2 linked regions of the Daphnia pulex genome follow. The protein of the gene in region 1 purifies or fractionates together with the protein of each later gene. This does not show direct contact. Links are inferred from orthologs where the notes say so. Each region holds a gene or a part of one and is shown in the gene's direction. Other genes may lie near its edges.

Evidence for each region.
Region 2: the proteins of nuclear pore complex protein Nup214-like (region 1) and GTP-binding nuclear protein Ran purify together in Homo sapiens (affinity purification with mass spectrometry; 3 studies listed by BioGRID and IntAct, counting the BioPlex papers as one, with this or other methods). This does not show direct contact. The link is inferred for Daphnia pulex from reciprocal best matches to the Homo sapiens genes NUP214 and RAN.

Annotation. Positions count from the first base shown.
Region 1 is NC_060027.1:5,446,579-5,454,460, reverse strand, and holds the start of nuclear pore complex protein Nup214-like, read left to right. Parts: upstream 1-3,163; 5' UTR 3,164-3,315; coding exon 3,316-3,348; intron 3,349-3,413; coding exon 3,414-3,752; intron 3,753-3,809; coding exon 3,810-4,000; intron 4,001-4,058; coding exon 4,059-4,367; intron 4,368-4,423; coding exon 4,424-5,627; intron 5,628-5,693; coding exon 5,694-5,821; intron 5,822-5,875; coding exon 5,876-7,882. UniProt on the Homo sapiens protein: Part of the nuclear pore complex. Has a critical role in nucleocytoplasmic transport.
Region 2 is NC_060020.1:1,356,761-1,363,671, forward strand, and holds GTP-binding nuclear protein Ran, read left to right. Parts: upstream 1-3,315; 5' UTR 3,316-3,468; exon of another isoform or gene 3,469-3,525; intron 3,526-3,653; exon of another isoform or gene 3,654-3,751; intron 3,752-3,882; 5' UTR 3,883-3,895; coding exon 3,896-4,138; intron 4,139-4,196; coding exon 4,197-4,385; intron 4,386-4,444; coding exon 4,445-4,660; 3' UTR 4,661-4,797; downstream 4,798-6,911. Other genes in the region: uncharacterized protein LOC124192239, read left to right, coding at 1,165-2,484; NFATC2-interacting protein-like, read right to left, coding at 4,883-5,157, 5,311-5,455, 5,524-5,613, 5,689-6,144. UniProt on the Homo sapiens protein: GTPase involved in nucleocytoplasmic transport, participating both to the import and the export from the nucleus of proteins and RNAs. Switches between a cytoplasmic GDP- and a nuclear GTP-bound state by nucleotide exchange and GTP hydrolysis.

The DNA of each region.
Region 1 (7,882 bases):
TGAACGAGCACACATCTTTTTTGGCTGCAATAAACTGCTTGTCTTCTCTCTAAATCTAAGTGCATTTCACGAGCATTCGCTCGTTACATCTGGGGGCTCATCCGAGAATCCAAATACGACTTCGAACGGAGAGAATTCCGTGGCTGTGTGGACGTCGGTGTTGATTGCAAAGACTGAACTTTGGAGGCCTTCGTCCCAGCTTTCCTTCTTGTCTTCGAACGCCACGAGTTTGTCCATTATGACGGCGTTCTGCCGTTCTACCAAGCCATTGGTTTGCGGCCGTTCCGTGGTCGCTAGCGTGTGTATTATTCCTATTGATGAGAGCGTATCACGCCAGGCTGCTGAAGTAAAGGCGCAGCCTTGGTCAGATACGATGTGATGCGGGACCCCATGGCGGTTGATAATAACACAATCATTTAGGAATTTAATGCTGGGTCCTGCCGCACATGACGGAACTGATTGGGCAAGAACTAGATTAGAGAAGTAATCTACGGCCACAATGATGTACCGGTTCCCCGCTCGAGTGATTGGAAATGGCCCTATGTGATCCAGACTCAACCTCGTGAATGGTTGCCAAGGCGGGGGAATGGGGTTCAGTAGGCCCGCTGGTCGCCTACGTTGAACTTTCCTCAATTGGCAGAAATGGCAGCTACGCGTCAGTCGTCGGGCTGTTTTTGTAGCACCTGGCCACCAAAACCGTTGTAGGATTCTCTCTATAGTTTTTGTTTGGCCTCCGTGGCCACTGGACGGATCAACATGACACGCCCTCGCGACTTGGCCTCTTAAAAACTTGGGCACGCAAAGAAGCCATGAATGCCCGCTTTTCCTTTTGTTCCGTCGATACAGGACTTGCTTTTTAAGTCGGAAAACGTCTTGGGTTTGCGGGGATCTTCCTTGTAGCCTGTCGATTGCAGTCTTAAAAGTTCGGTCTGCATGTTGCGCCAGCGACAATTCTTCGAGGTCAATTTTGGTAGGGGAAAAACAGGACAATTTTGGAGGGGCTAGAATACCAACCAGGGGATCTCGTGACGGTGCGGCGGAAGCAGGTGAAAAAGGGGGTGTGCAAGAAGTTTTCGCAGCGCAACATCGGTCCCTTCCACCTCGTGCGGAAGCTTGGCCCAAGTACCTACGAGGTGGAAGACCTTCCATCCCGCCGAACGGCCACCAGGTGGCGAGTGTTCAATGCCCATGTAGCCCAGATGAACCGCTACGTCACCAAACAAGGCACAGACACGGAATCATCCAGCCAAGCAAGCCCGGAGGAGACGGATTCATCGCCCTCCCACTCATCGGCCCAGTCGTTAGACGAGCATTCGTCGTCAGGCAGCGACTCATCATCTAACGAGGAATCGTCGTCTTCCCATTCGCCCTCGGTTTCGAGCGTTTCCGGACCGTCTCCACAGCGTTCGTCTCCGTCATCCGACGACTATGTCGTCTTCCGTTTGTGCAAGTTTCAAGTAATTATTGATATATTTGGATTTTTTATCATTTTTAAAGTAGCATACACTTTAGCTTGGAAACATATGGCGAGAGCGCCGATGTTTCCAAACTTTATATCTAGCACTTTGGGGATAAACTTCAATTCACTATAAAATCTACAAATATCAAATATCATGGTGAAAGGAAATTCTTTCCCCACCAAGAAGATTTTTTTAAATTTGCTTTGCGATAGCTCAAACGTGAGTTATCGCGTAAAAAAGGGAGACACTTTGGTCCGTAAGCCGCCGTGTTAGAAGCGCGGAAACACTCGCCGTGTTTCCAAACTTTGTGTAGGTACTGTACATATTATATTATATTTTTTCCTGAAACGGTGTCTGCGGGTTTTCTTCGGGTTTTTCTACATTAGTTTCATTTTCAGAGTCAGGATATATGTTACACAAAAATAATAAACTTACTTAAACTACTCCACCTTTTTCTAAGACTTGCTGACATACTGGCTTTCCCTTTCCATTCATCCTTCCCCTTAAGGTAATATATATAGCCAATCAATCATAAAACATATGTCAGGATGGCCGAGCGGTCTAAGGCGCCAGACTCAAGCAGGTGCTTGCCAAACTAAAACTTGGTAAATAGGAATTCTGGTCTTCGATAGAAGGCGTGGGTTCAAATCCCACTTCTGACAATCATTATTACAAGGAAATATTTTTGGATGGCACGACGGAGAAACAAGCTGCATACAAACCAGCTTCCTACCCTAGCCCAGCCTATCCTTTCGTACTCCTCATACAAACCTCTGCATACAAGCCCGCATCCATATCTCCGGCTTATCCGAACTACCAAGTAAATATCATATCCTGGCTTCTTGCTATAATTGATACAAATAAAGAAATAAAAGTTTTAAATAAACGATTAGTCAGAGTTTACTAGCAGTAATCTTTTTTCTCCCTGCGTCGCTTAAAAATGAATTTATGCGCTACGGCCGTATGGCGTCGCTGTGTCGCTGTTTCTGAATCTGATCAAATTAAACCAATAATTGTTTATTTGAATAGAAAATTTAAAAAAAAATAATTCCATCTTTTGCGGACTGATAAAGAAAAGGGATCGAGATGAATGAACTACACACAGGTTGGGATGAGGAAGTGAGTCGGATCTAAAGTTTGTCCTAGTTGGATATTCTTTGTCTAATTATGCTAGACTAAGGTTACATGAATTATCATCCAATTGAATCTCTTGAAAAATAATAATGTCCAATCGAGCCAGATTTGAGCAGACCGACCAGAATGTGTAGCCTAATAGATAAGGTGCCAGTTTATCTTACTTATAGATGTTAAGTTATTTAGAAGTTAAGTTAAGTTAATTTTGTTTGTTAATTAGTTCAAAGAGAGACTATTTGCCGTATAAAGAGACCGTGCACCACGATCAGATTTATCGTATATTATATAGTCCCTATTTGTAAATTTATTCCTCGAATATGATTCGTTTGATCGAATGTTTATTGTTTAATCGTTTTGAACAGGGTTTTCAATGAACCAAGTTGATGAAAATATTGTATCTTGCAATTTGGTTGACGTATCACGTAAGCCTTCCCTTTTGAATATCTTAACTCCACTATAGCCCCAAAAGTGATCAGAATTGGAAACACTACCCCTCAGCCCCTACCCTTTCAAAAAAAAGAACCGCGAGTTATTACAATTTAAAAAAATTCAAATTGCTTTGATAGATGGCGTTCACTTGTCACAAGCAGACAGGCAGTGAGGCACTCAAACAGTTAGACATTTCATAAAATTTCGACCGGCTTTGGCTTTGCAACAAAATAAGGTTGAAAGTGCGGTGTGATTTTCTATCCGAATATTACATTGATTATTGAAACTGATAATGGCAAACGTTCCTGATCCTGTTGAAGTCTTGGTAATTTTAAAATACATTTTTTTATTGTTTTCTTTCAATTCAACCAATCTAACTTGTAACAACAGGACTTCAAAATGAAACAGCTGTGTAAGTTTAGAGTCACTAAAAAGGAATATGATGTACAGGACACCACATCATTGCTGGCTACTTCTAATTTGTTTGGTCTGATCTTTGTTGGGACACCTGACAAACTTGTTGTCATCAAAGTTTCAGATCTTATACAAATTGACAATACAACATCAAAAAAATCAGAAATATCATCATTTCCCATCAAGGAAATTCTTTTACCCAACAAACCTAGTTTTGTAACACTGAGCTCTGATAATCTTACCTTAATGGTGTGCCTTCAAAAATCTGGATGCTCAGTAGGTTGGATGTATGATGTTCGTGGATTTGCAAGACAGGTATGATTTAAGGAATTTCATTTTGTGTGATTGAAACAGATTTAAAATCTTTTTCAGTCAGGTGAATGGAATCCCTTCCAGGAAGTCAGGCTTTCGTCTACTGATGGAGTTACTGTGAAAGATTGTGCGTGGAACCCTGTTATACCAACTCTAGTAGCTGTCTGTCTTAGTGATGGCTCTTTAGTTGCAGTGGAGATCAACAACACTCAATTCACTATAAATAGCCTTCCATCAAGTACAGGAGCCCAGTATGTGAATATCCTATTTTGTATGTATGTTATTTTCTTAATTTTATTGAATTATTAGGTCAGTCTGTTGGAGTCCCAAAGGAAAACAGCTAGTTGTGGCCAGGCCTAGTAAACTAGTTCAGTATAAGCCTGATTTAAAGGAAGCCAAGACTATAGCGTTTAGTGGTAGCGATGTCCATATGACTCAGCCAATGGTTTGTGGACTTCAGTGGCTTTCTACAACTCAGTTCCTTGTAACGTTTGTTGATCAAAATGAACCCAATTCTCGTCCCCACCTCTACATAGTCAACGTACAAAAATCGGGGGCAACAACTTTCATAGATTATGACGATGTTTGCTACGGAAGTCCGTCTGAAAGACCACACAGGTATACGAATTTTTTTCATTTTATTATCAATATAATGAATTTTGTTTCTTTTTTAGTTATCTAACATTGAGTTTATCCCCATGGAATGTGTTATTGGCTTGTTCAGCTAACGCAATAGAAGTTGCCGTACTAGCTCAAACAGGAGCTGGAGATGCTGATCACCCTGAATGGAGGCAATGGGCACTAGAAGGTGAATGGCGAGCTGAACTACCATTAAATGAGAATGCTGAGACTAACCCGTTGGGAATGGCCATCGATACCACTAGCCAAATTCCAATCAGTTGGGATGACAATCAAACTTTACCGCCCGCACCCATTCTTTTCATACTCAGCACTCATGGTCTGCTTTGCCCGTTTCATGTTATCAATCTAAAGAACGGTGCTGCCAAATTCAATCAGGCTCCTCAAGAATTGTCGGTCACTGGTGAGAGACCAGCGCTTAGTGGAATTGGTCTCAAGGCGGCTCCATTAGCAGCTTCCACTCCATTACCTGCTGCTGGTAAAATTGCATTTCCTAGAACAAATCTTGGAGAACGATTTGCTGCATTTGCGGATGCTCCTTCCTTAGCAGTCCCAGTTACAACGAAATTACCTTCAAATCCGCCTATTTCGGACTCGTTTTTGGGCAACAAACCCCAACTTCAACCTGCCTTACCTTCAGTGACGAAAGTTGCAACTGCACCTGTTGTACCAGCTGTGAAGATAGAAGCGGTTCCGGTTGTCCCGAAAGCTACTCCACTTACTGTCAAACTTACAAGTCAAACTCCAATCGCAGATGAATCTAACATCCATTCATCCATGGGCGCTGCCGCTGCAATATTACGTGACGAAGTGGCCAAATTCGTTCAAGACTTGAAGGAATTCAAAGCTCGTTCGTTGACTTTGAAAGTTACGATCGCGAGTGATGAGGAGAAAGAACGATTGTTAAAGATGACATCCGATCTGGCTGAGTTTGGTGTGGATCTGGTCGATACTACCAAAGTGCAAGACGAAGAAGTTCGAGGCTTGTGCACTGATTTGGTAGAAGTTGCCGCCCTTTTGGAAGATGCCCGTGTTCGACGTGCTCGTCGCAAAAATTCTCATTTCTGTCATTTGCTCAAGTTACGGCCTCTAGATCCAGGCAATCGCAGAAAAATGGACGGCATTGAGCGCTTGCACGTTCACATAGAACAGCAGCTTATAGAAGCTTCACGAAGCCTAGATTCGATTAGCAGAGACCGTACTAGAGACACCCGCAAAATTGAAATCCCAATAACTCAGGTAAGCTTGTTTTATTATTATTATTACTCTAAAATATTCAGCATCCTATGATTTATTTCATCTCAGGTTATTTATGAAGCAATTAGAAACAATACGAAAGTAATATCACAGTTAAAATCTCGTGTTGAACGAATTATGGTTCAGAGCAAAGAACAGCAACTGAAACTCGCCGGTGCAGCCTTCGAAGCTTTAAGGTATTTGCCATTCATAAATTCACTTAATTATTGAATTAATTGTGTGTTCTGTAGACCAAAGAGTGGTGATGAGTCAAGAAAATGGGAGTCTGAACTGGCTGTTCTGGCTGATTCTCTTTTGTCGTCAAGTATAAGAGGAGAAGGGGAAACTCAATCACACCATCCTGTGATCCCACAAGTATCACCTGATAAACAAGCAATGTTAAGGAGTGTATTAGCGCATAGACCGGTAGCTCGGATTCGAGCCGTTCGCCCAGAATCAGTTGCAGAATCACGCTTGCTGTCAAATCTCACCGGTTTCATTCACGGTGAAGATAAGAAAGATACTTCTTCAGTTAGTCCTAAGATTTCACAAGCTCCTTCCAAGACCATATTGCCCACTGTCAAAAGTGTAAGCTATTCGACGCCACAGGAGATTAAATCAGACCTGCCTATGCCTAAAATGGGGTTACCCGATCATGGATTCAATGCTAAGGTCTCTATGGCATCGTCTCGAGTGGATTTTGCCAAACCTACTCCACGTCCGCCCTCCGAGGTCGAAGATGTTACTCCGCCGTCTTCACCAGTTAACTTGGACCAAAAGGCCAAATCTCTCGGCAATCAGCTGATGATGAGCAGTTTGAGTTTACCCTCGCGCGCTCCCGTAACTACCGTGGAAGATACAAAGCCGGTGTCTAAAATGGCCGATTTGAAACCAGTCGTTTCTTTGCCTACTTCGCTTCCACCACCTTACGAGCCCAAACCTTCTTTCTCTTCAGTGCCCACGTCAACACCTATGCTTTCGTTTGGTGCTCCCAAGAAAGACCTAAACTCACTCGGATTAGGATCGACCAGTTTGTTCGGGAAATCTTCCTTTGGTTCCGCATTTGGCGCTGCTGCATCCCCTTCTACGACTATTGCGGCTGCATCATCTAAACCAACAGCCGAAGTTACATCACCATTCTCAACTTCAGGAACGCCGGTTACCAGTGCCGCAATACCGGCTACGTCAGTTCAGCCGCAGACAACTAAGGTTGTTTCTACTTCTTCGTTTGGCTTCTCTGCTCCACCAGCTTTATCAGCCTCCGCTTCAACTCCGTCACTGGTGGCATCGAAACCGGCAGAGCCAGCCCCGACTTTAAAAACAAGTTTTTCTTTCAAAGAGCTTTCATCTCTCTCTGGATCTGCAGCTCCGGCTTCCATTACCACAACAACCGTGACGCCGGCTGCAGTAACACCTTCAAGTTTTACGTTTTCTTCTACCTCCCTAACACCTTCAGCAGCAGCAGTAACCTCTGCTATCGCCGCTACTCCCTTGCCGATTGTAGCGCCGGCTTCGACCACTTCCAACACTGATGATTCAACTACCACCGTTAAACCGTCTGTCGCACCGACAAATTTCTCTTTCAGTTTGGCTGAAACTCCTAACAGTTCCAGTACCAGTGTACCAGGAGCTACTGCTCCTTTTACTTTTAATCTCTCTGGAACCGGTTCAGCTACTACTAGTTCCACACCCACAGGATTTGCAGCACCTTCTTCCACTCCTGTTGCTGGGTCATTGTTCTCTTTGACTCCATCAAATAAAGCACCCGTCGCCTTTGGTGTAGTTAATACTTCAAGTGTGTCCAGTCCCTCAATCTTTGGTCAAGCAGCAGCACCCGTTGTCCCAACAACGACACCAGCGGCCACATCTGTCTTTGGCCAAGCACCACCTCTAGTTCCCGCGACAAGTACCTCCGATTCAGGCGTGGCAACTTTATTTGGCCAAAGCAAACCAATCCAGAATGTATCATTGACTACTGCTGCCCCTGTCACTCAATCCGCTCTTGGACTGGCAGTTGCTCCCACTAGCACACCTTCCGCCTTGTCGCCAGCACCAGCCACCACCACAATTTTTGGTCGTCCATCAGCAGCCCCTGGAAGTTTGTTCGGTCAGTCTGTAACGACTGCCGGACCTTTCCCATCTTCCTTCGGACAGATTGGGTTTGCCCAGCCTACTTCAACAACTTCGACTACATCAAGCACCTCAGTCTTTGGACAGTCAAGCTTTGCCAAACCAGCTCAGGCTAGTGGAGTACAGCC
Region 2 (6,911 bases), on another chromosome or scaffold:
ATTAAAGTAAATTTACCGACGAAGAAGGCAGCGATCAAGACGACGCAGAAAATGATCAACAATGAACGCATCTTGGAAGACTAATGAATATGCCGACAGGTGAACAAGGGCCTTTATATACCAAATGGTAGACAGCGATGACATGGCAACAAAACTTGGTTGGGAAATCCAACGTCGCCATACCAAGGCCAGTCTACTTTCCAATATTATTTGTGTTGATTGTGCAATGCATGTTTTGTTTAACTTTCTATCGCCAAGCGGAAGGTAAAATGATAAGCACATTAATAAGACGCACCAAAAACATTTGATTGCAGATTTGGTTATTCCTGCGGTCAGCGCCATCTATTGGTTGGTGGTGATTGGAGGGGGTGGGACTTAGGCTTGACCTAAGGTCGACTAAAACTGATGGAAAATTCGCGGGAAAATGGCATAAAGTGCACCGGTGTGTCGCATGTAAGAGCTCTCCAACTTGATTTCCTGCAATGAAATGAACTTTTAACCAAACTAAAGTTTGATTGATCTTTCTTTTAATAGAAATTTCTAGTTTCAAAGACAACTTTGATAAGTTAAATAAGCATTTGCCTTGCTTCTAAACTGGTGATAGCCATTTTTATCATTGTCAATGTTTCTCAACATAATCTCAAAATGTCTGTTCTATTGTTAATTTTTCAGCATCTACCTCGACTTTTAATTCAACTTCAACTCTACCCCTATGTAAAATTATATTGGTTAGTATTACAGCTCATTATGTAAGTGAAATTCAACATTTCAGGCAGCCTACGTTAGCTCATGTGGTTCCCAAAACAGACAAAGCAATAATATGAACACATGCAAGTACTGCTCACACACTATGTGAAATTCTTTGTCATTGATTGTTGAATATTACCATTTGATGAGATTTAGCACCATTGATTTGGATGCAGCCTTTCTCCTTGCTTTAATTTCGGTTTTCAAAAAATACTTGTCAGTTTGTTTGCTCTGCAAGTGGACACTGGACATGGAATTGTACCAAAATGTGTATTCTTTTTATTTCAGATCCCTTCTTGACATCACATGCAAAGTTTATTTCAAGAGATTCTACAGTCTACACTACGTCAGCTGTGTCCATGTGCAGCACATCTTTTACTATTCCACAAAGGCAAATAACTCATCTAATTTAAATCCATGGCATCTCAATCTCCCATCGGTTGTTCTTCTCAATCTTCCTTCTTAACTGTTGACAAAAAACATGAGATAGAGATGGATAATCTTCAATATCTGGCACCTGCTTCCATTCTAACTCCAAGTCCTAGTCCTTTATTGATGCCAGTTGATTCAAATTGGATGACACCCTCAGAATATCCTGTTCATTCATCCTCTACCCATATGAAAGCACAGTTTACTCGTGTAGCATATCCGAATTCACAGGAATCTGTTACGAATGTTCCACCAATTCGAGAAGTTGTAATGCCAGATCGTTACTCAGCAACAGCAATGGAACAAGAAGTGATGATGGAGACCACTTTCCTTGAAGACTCCATGTCCAAGAAGACCCCTGATTTATCTGATTGGCATTGCAGTCCACCTTTTCAATTTGAGGATGTGTCGGAAGATGTTGACATCTCTAACAAGGATATGCCATTTTCCCATTTCACGGAGAAACCTCAAATACCTAACGTGAAGCTCGAGTCGCCCGCTATTTGTGAAGACATTTGTTGGGAAGGCAGCGCATTTGATCCACTCGATGACAGTCGTCTTTGTTTTACCCATTTCCTGGAACCTCAAGATGTCAAAGAAATGGATCAAGAAATGGAAATGGATCCATTATTCATCACCACTGTTGCACCAATTGCACCTCCATTTCTCGTTGCTCCCGTCCTTAACCCACCGTTAGCCGCTGGGAAAATAACTGCCAATCCCTTTCTTCTTTCCGATTTTCCCGAAACAACAACACCTCTTCAAGCAAAAAAACGATTGATCGAAACCAATGTAAGCCAATCTCCCAGAAAATTAACAAAAATGGCCCCGCATGTTATGCCTGTGAAAGTTGAATTACTTCAACACAATTCGCCGGTTTGGTTGGTGAAATCTGAATTCGAGGAATCCAGTGTCATTGATCCCGACGAGATTCGACTGCTTCCCTTCGCACCTTCACATTTGGAATCACCACAAGAAGCTACTACAAAAGTCCCATTGAGTCGTCCTTCTACATCTTCGGTACCAAAGTCAAAAGTTGACATAGACGTGGATGAAGAAGGTAATTTATTCGCCACCATTCGTCTGATTGCCCCATCGCCTTCCATCACATCAAACAAACTTAAGGCATCAAAGAATGTTAACTGCAAAAACAAGAGGACTAGTAATCACTTTGGGCACTCTGGAAAAAATCCATCATCAAGGTTAAGCACAAAAAAAGAAACAAGAGCCAAAAAAGAGGACCCATTTTCTGTCAAGAGTCTGATGGCAAAGTTCATTGAAGCTGCAAAAAATAAAAAAATCTCCTAACTTTGATAACTATATATGATAAAACTTGGAGTTCCATGTTTATTTCAGATTATTTTAGTTTATTTTTATGTGTGCATGATTAGTTCGCCAATGTGGAATGTGATGACTACTGAAACCCCCTATCCCCATATTCCCCTTTGTCTTGCGTTTTTTGTTTGGATCCTCGTTCAAGTAGTCAGTTTCGCGTTGAGTTACAAACGAACCGGTATCGCATCAAAATGTTCGTCATAGCTTTATCTCCCAAGATTTTATACACTGTGATGAAACCTTCCGAAAATTATTTTGTAATAGTTCATTGATATTTTGTTTGTAAAACAAAACTCGCCATTATTTTTTGTAACCCAGAAATTCATCGTATCAATAAATACAGATGCTTGTATGAATGATCGCCTCCGTTGTTATTTTTCTTCGAACGGTTGATTTTATAACATACAATGAAATAATGACTAACAAAAAAAACAGCAATCATAACTTTGACAGAAATATTCATCATGCTGCTACCACGTCTTTTAATGTCCTATTAATTAATTTATATACAGTGATGCTTATAGGAATTTCTTTCTTCTTTTAAAAGGTAATTTCATTTGAATTAAGTGCTACTATCCTTTTTATTAACACATTTAGCATTTTAATCTCACACAAAATAAATATATTGTTGATTAAAAAATTAAAAAACATCATCCCGTTAATAGGCCTGAATGAAATTCAACATTAATAAATTACATTCAAAGCTTTAGACAGGCTTTAGAGAAATAGAGAGCTACAGCCCTGCTACAGCCTACTTTCCATTTTCAAATTCCAACCGTCTTTTTTTCAAAGAAAAGGAAAATATTCCCGCCGTTTCTCCTAGTGAAATTTGGCAACATCTCGCTAGGAATTTTTTAGAGCCACCCATTTTCAGCCAGCCTTTACGCTACCAGAATTTTTAGAGACCAGTTTGGTATTAGAACCGCGCGATTGTGAACCTAAAGCTTAAAACCGCCGGTGAGTTAGATTTATCTTCGAATATTGTCCACATCCTTCATCTTTTCGTTGTTTTAAGTAAGCAGTAATGTTTCTTTTGCCAATCTCTTTTTAATTCGGCATGGAAAGTATTTTAGTCATCATAGTTATTTTATTCTGCATTTTTCAAGTTGTAACCTCTAACAGTCATCTTCCTCCATCAAAGACAACGCACTAAGCTAGTCAGTGGCGGTAAAACTGTTCTGTGGTAGTTGTTTGAAATAGTCCCTTTTTTCTCTTGACATTAAACATTGACAGTTAACTTGTAAGTGTTCACGAGTGTGTAAATTTTTAGAAAAATATATTTTGTTGTCGTTAGATTAAGTTCCAGTAAATTCTTGTTGAATGACGCAATCAAGTCTGATCGATTCACTTATCTTTTCTCATTATTTGTAGGATTTACAACAGAATGGCTGCCGAACCTGACATGCCCACTTTCAAGCTGGTCTTGGTTGGCGATGGTGGTACCGGAAAAACCACTTTCGTTAAGCGTCACTTGACTGGTGAATTTGAAAAGAAGTATGTGGCCACACTTGGTGTGGAAGTTCACCCTTTGGTTTTCCATACAAACCGTGGAGCCATCAGATTCAACGTGTGGGACACTGCTGGTCAGGAGAAGTTTGGAGGTCTCAGAGATGGATATTACATTCAGGTAAATGTCAGCATACTTGTATTCACATGGTCTCGACTGACTTTCATTTATCTTGCAGGGCCAATGTGCTATCATCATGTTTGATGTAACCTCTCGTGTCACCTACAAAAATGTTCCAAATTGGCACAGAGATTTGGTCCGAGTTTGTGAAAACATCCCAATTGTTCTTTGTGGCAACAAAGTTGACATTAAAGATCGTAAAGTCAAGGCCAAATCCATTGTCTTTCACAGAAAGAAGAATCTCCAGGTATGTTAATTGTGCTACTAAATTGTAAATGCAATTTGCTAAATTTTGGTTTCATTTAGTACTATGACATTAGTGCCAAGTCAAACTACAACTTTGAAAAGCCTTTCCTCTGGCTAGCACGTAAGCTAATTGGAGACCCTAACCTAGAGTTTGTTGCTATGCCTGCTCTGCAGCCACCTGAGGTGCAGATGGATCCTAATTGGCAGAAGCAAATTGAAGGTGAATTGGAGGAAGCTCAACACATTGCACTACCAGAAGATGATGAAGACTTGTAACATCAACATATTAGGATTTAAGCCACTACACCCTCCCACAAATTTTTCCATCTGTGTTTTCTGCCTTCTATCTTAACCAATTTTTATTTGCGAGGTATGAAAATACATTGTGCGTCATAATACAAAAGTCTTTCGAATTTTTGTTTATTAGTGCATAATTTATTTGCGCAAGGGAAAATATACAAAGTAGTAAAGTTAAGAAAAATGTAGTGAACAAATAAACTACTCTCTAATGAAAACATCGATACACTCGCCACCTTCAAATTCCAGACTAGACGGTGTGTCATCTTCTTCCAACATTTCGCCGTCAAATTTAAACTTCAATTTGGACAAATCAATCCCGGTTGCTTCCGCATACTTCTGCATCAAAACTGCCATAGGGTCTTCGGGGCGCATTGATATAACCACTTGTGCATTCCGGTTCTGACTCTGAACCTTTAACTCCAACAATGTTTCGTTGGAGCTGACGACAACTCCTTCTTTGCAGACTGAAGCATCTGTTAAAAAAAAGCACTGTTACAACGTTCGCTAATACCAAACCCAATCGTCCAAAGTTTTTACATTGGAAAACCAATTGACTTCATGCCAGGGTTGCTAAAACCGATTTATGACGCTGAAATGGACTGTAATTTGAATGACAAGTAACATACCAATGATGTCTGATATCCCAAGTGGCACTGTTTTGAGACTGTCATAGTCATTCAGTAGTTGATCATTGAAATATAGAATTATTTGTCCAGCATCCACATCAGTGATCTCTGATAATTTCTGGCAGATGGTTTTGAAATAATCAGCCTGAATAATAGTAATAATAGTAAAAATGTAGTGGACTAGTTATTGATATGTTGGATGTTGAAGGTTACCCTTTTGATTTCTATCCTCCACACTTTTTGGGCAATGAAGCGAACTTTAACTACCACTATTTCATCACCATCAAGGGTCTGATTCAATTGCTGCACAAAAATATAGAAATATATAGGCAAGAGAATATAAAAGATTATTTACCAAAACCATTTTTCACTTCTTACCGAATCATTCAACGAAGCACAATAGAGTGGGTCCTCCTCACACTCAATTTCATCTTGTATTGCTGCAGGTACTTTACTGAGTTTACGTGATGTAAGATCTTCTGAAAATGACACTTCAGGTGATATATTGATGCAGTCTTCTATGTCTTCTAGAGTTTCCACTTGTCTGTCTGTTTCTTCGTGAACTTCTGTTTCATCTAAATCAACTTCTTGAATTTCTCTGTTTGGAACTCTAAGTACTTCTTCATCACTACTTTCATCAATCTGCTGAACAGGTGTTGGTGATACGTTTCCAGCTGAGGTAAAAATTTTGGTCTCTTTTTTGTTGGCAAGATGCGGTTTTCCTGTAGAACAAACTGCTTGCTTTTCTTTTTTAAAACGCTTACAAGCCCCCGAATATAAAGAACTAAAGTCTTCGTCTTCGTCTGAGTAGTCGGAATGTTTCGCGACAGACATGATTCAACAGCTACAACGTGGATATAACTTGCGAATTTACGATGGAAAACAATTGTTTCAACTTACTAGATAACTAGAACAAGTGAAGAGAATCAATAATTCGCTTGCAATGGGTTTGATATTCGTTGACTAAAGCGTGAATAAAAAATTTTTGTTACGTCTCTATCTTACTTCAATCTATGTTTACTCGTCCAGACTTGTTAAATTAAAAATGCAAGGACCACTTAAGTACTAGGCCGGTCATTGAGCTATTCCATGGCGTAACTTTTTTCTATCCATCCATCTGAGTTCTGTCCGAAGCTAAGAGATGGCGTATCTAGTACGTCACGTACATTTACATTAGGCAATATTTTTATGCATATCATTATTTTGGAAAAGTAACGGAATTTTATTCTATTATTATTTTGATCCAAATAAAATGAATCGCTTGAACCTTGAAATCAATCAGTTCAGAATTTCACATTTCAAGTACAATTAATTGCCGCTAGATGTCGTTTCCCCTCCAGGTGGCGCAAATCAATGGCCAAATTGACAATAGAGCAAACCAACGCCATGGCAACCTCGCGGCGGCCATATTATGTGAACTTTCACTGTGGAGTGTGGGCGATGTGGAGTGTTCTTACGGGTTTTGGTTAACTAGGATTTACTTGTTAAATAACTAAAATAAGTGTCATATGAAAGATGTTGATTTCAACATTTATGGCTGATTAGTGATTACAGTGAGAAGGGCCTTCCCGCATTCCATTTCCAGCACGTGATCGATCCTG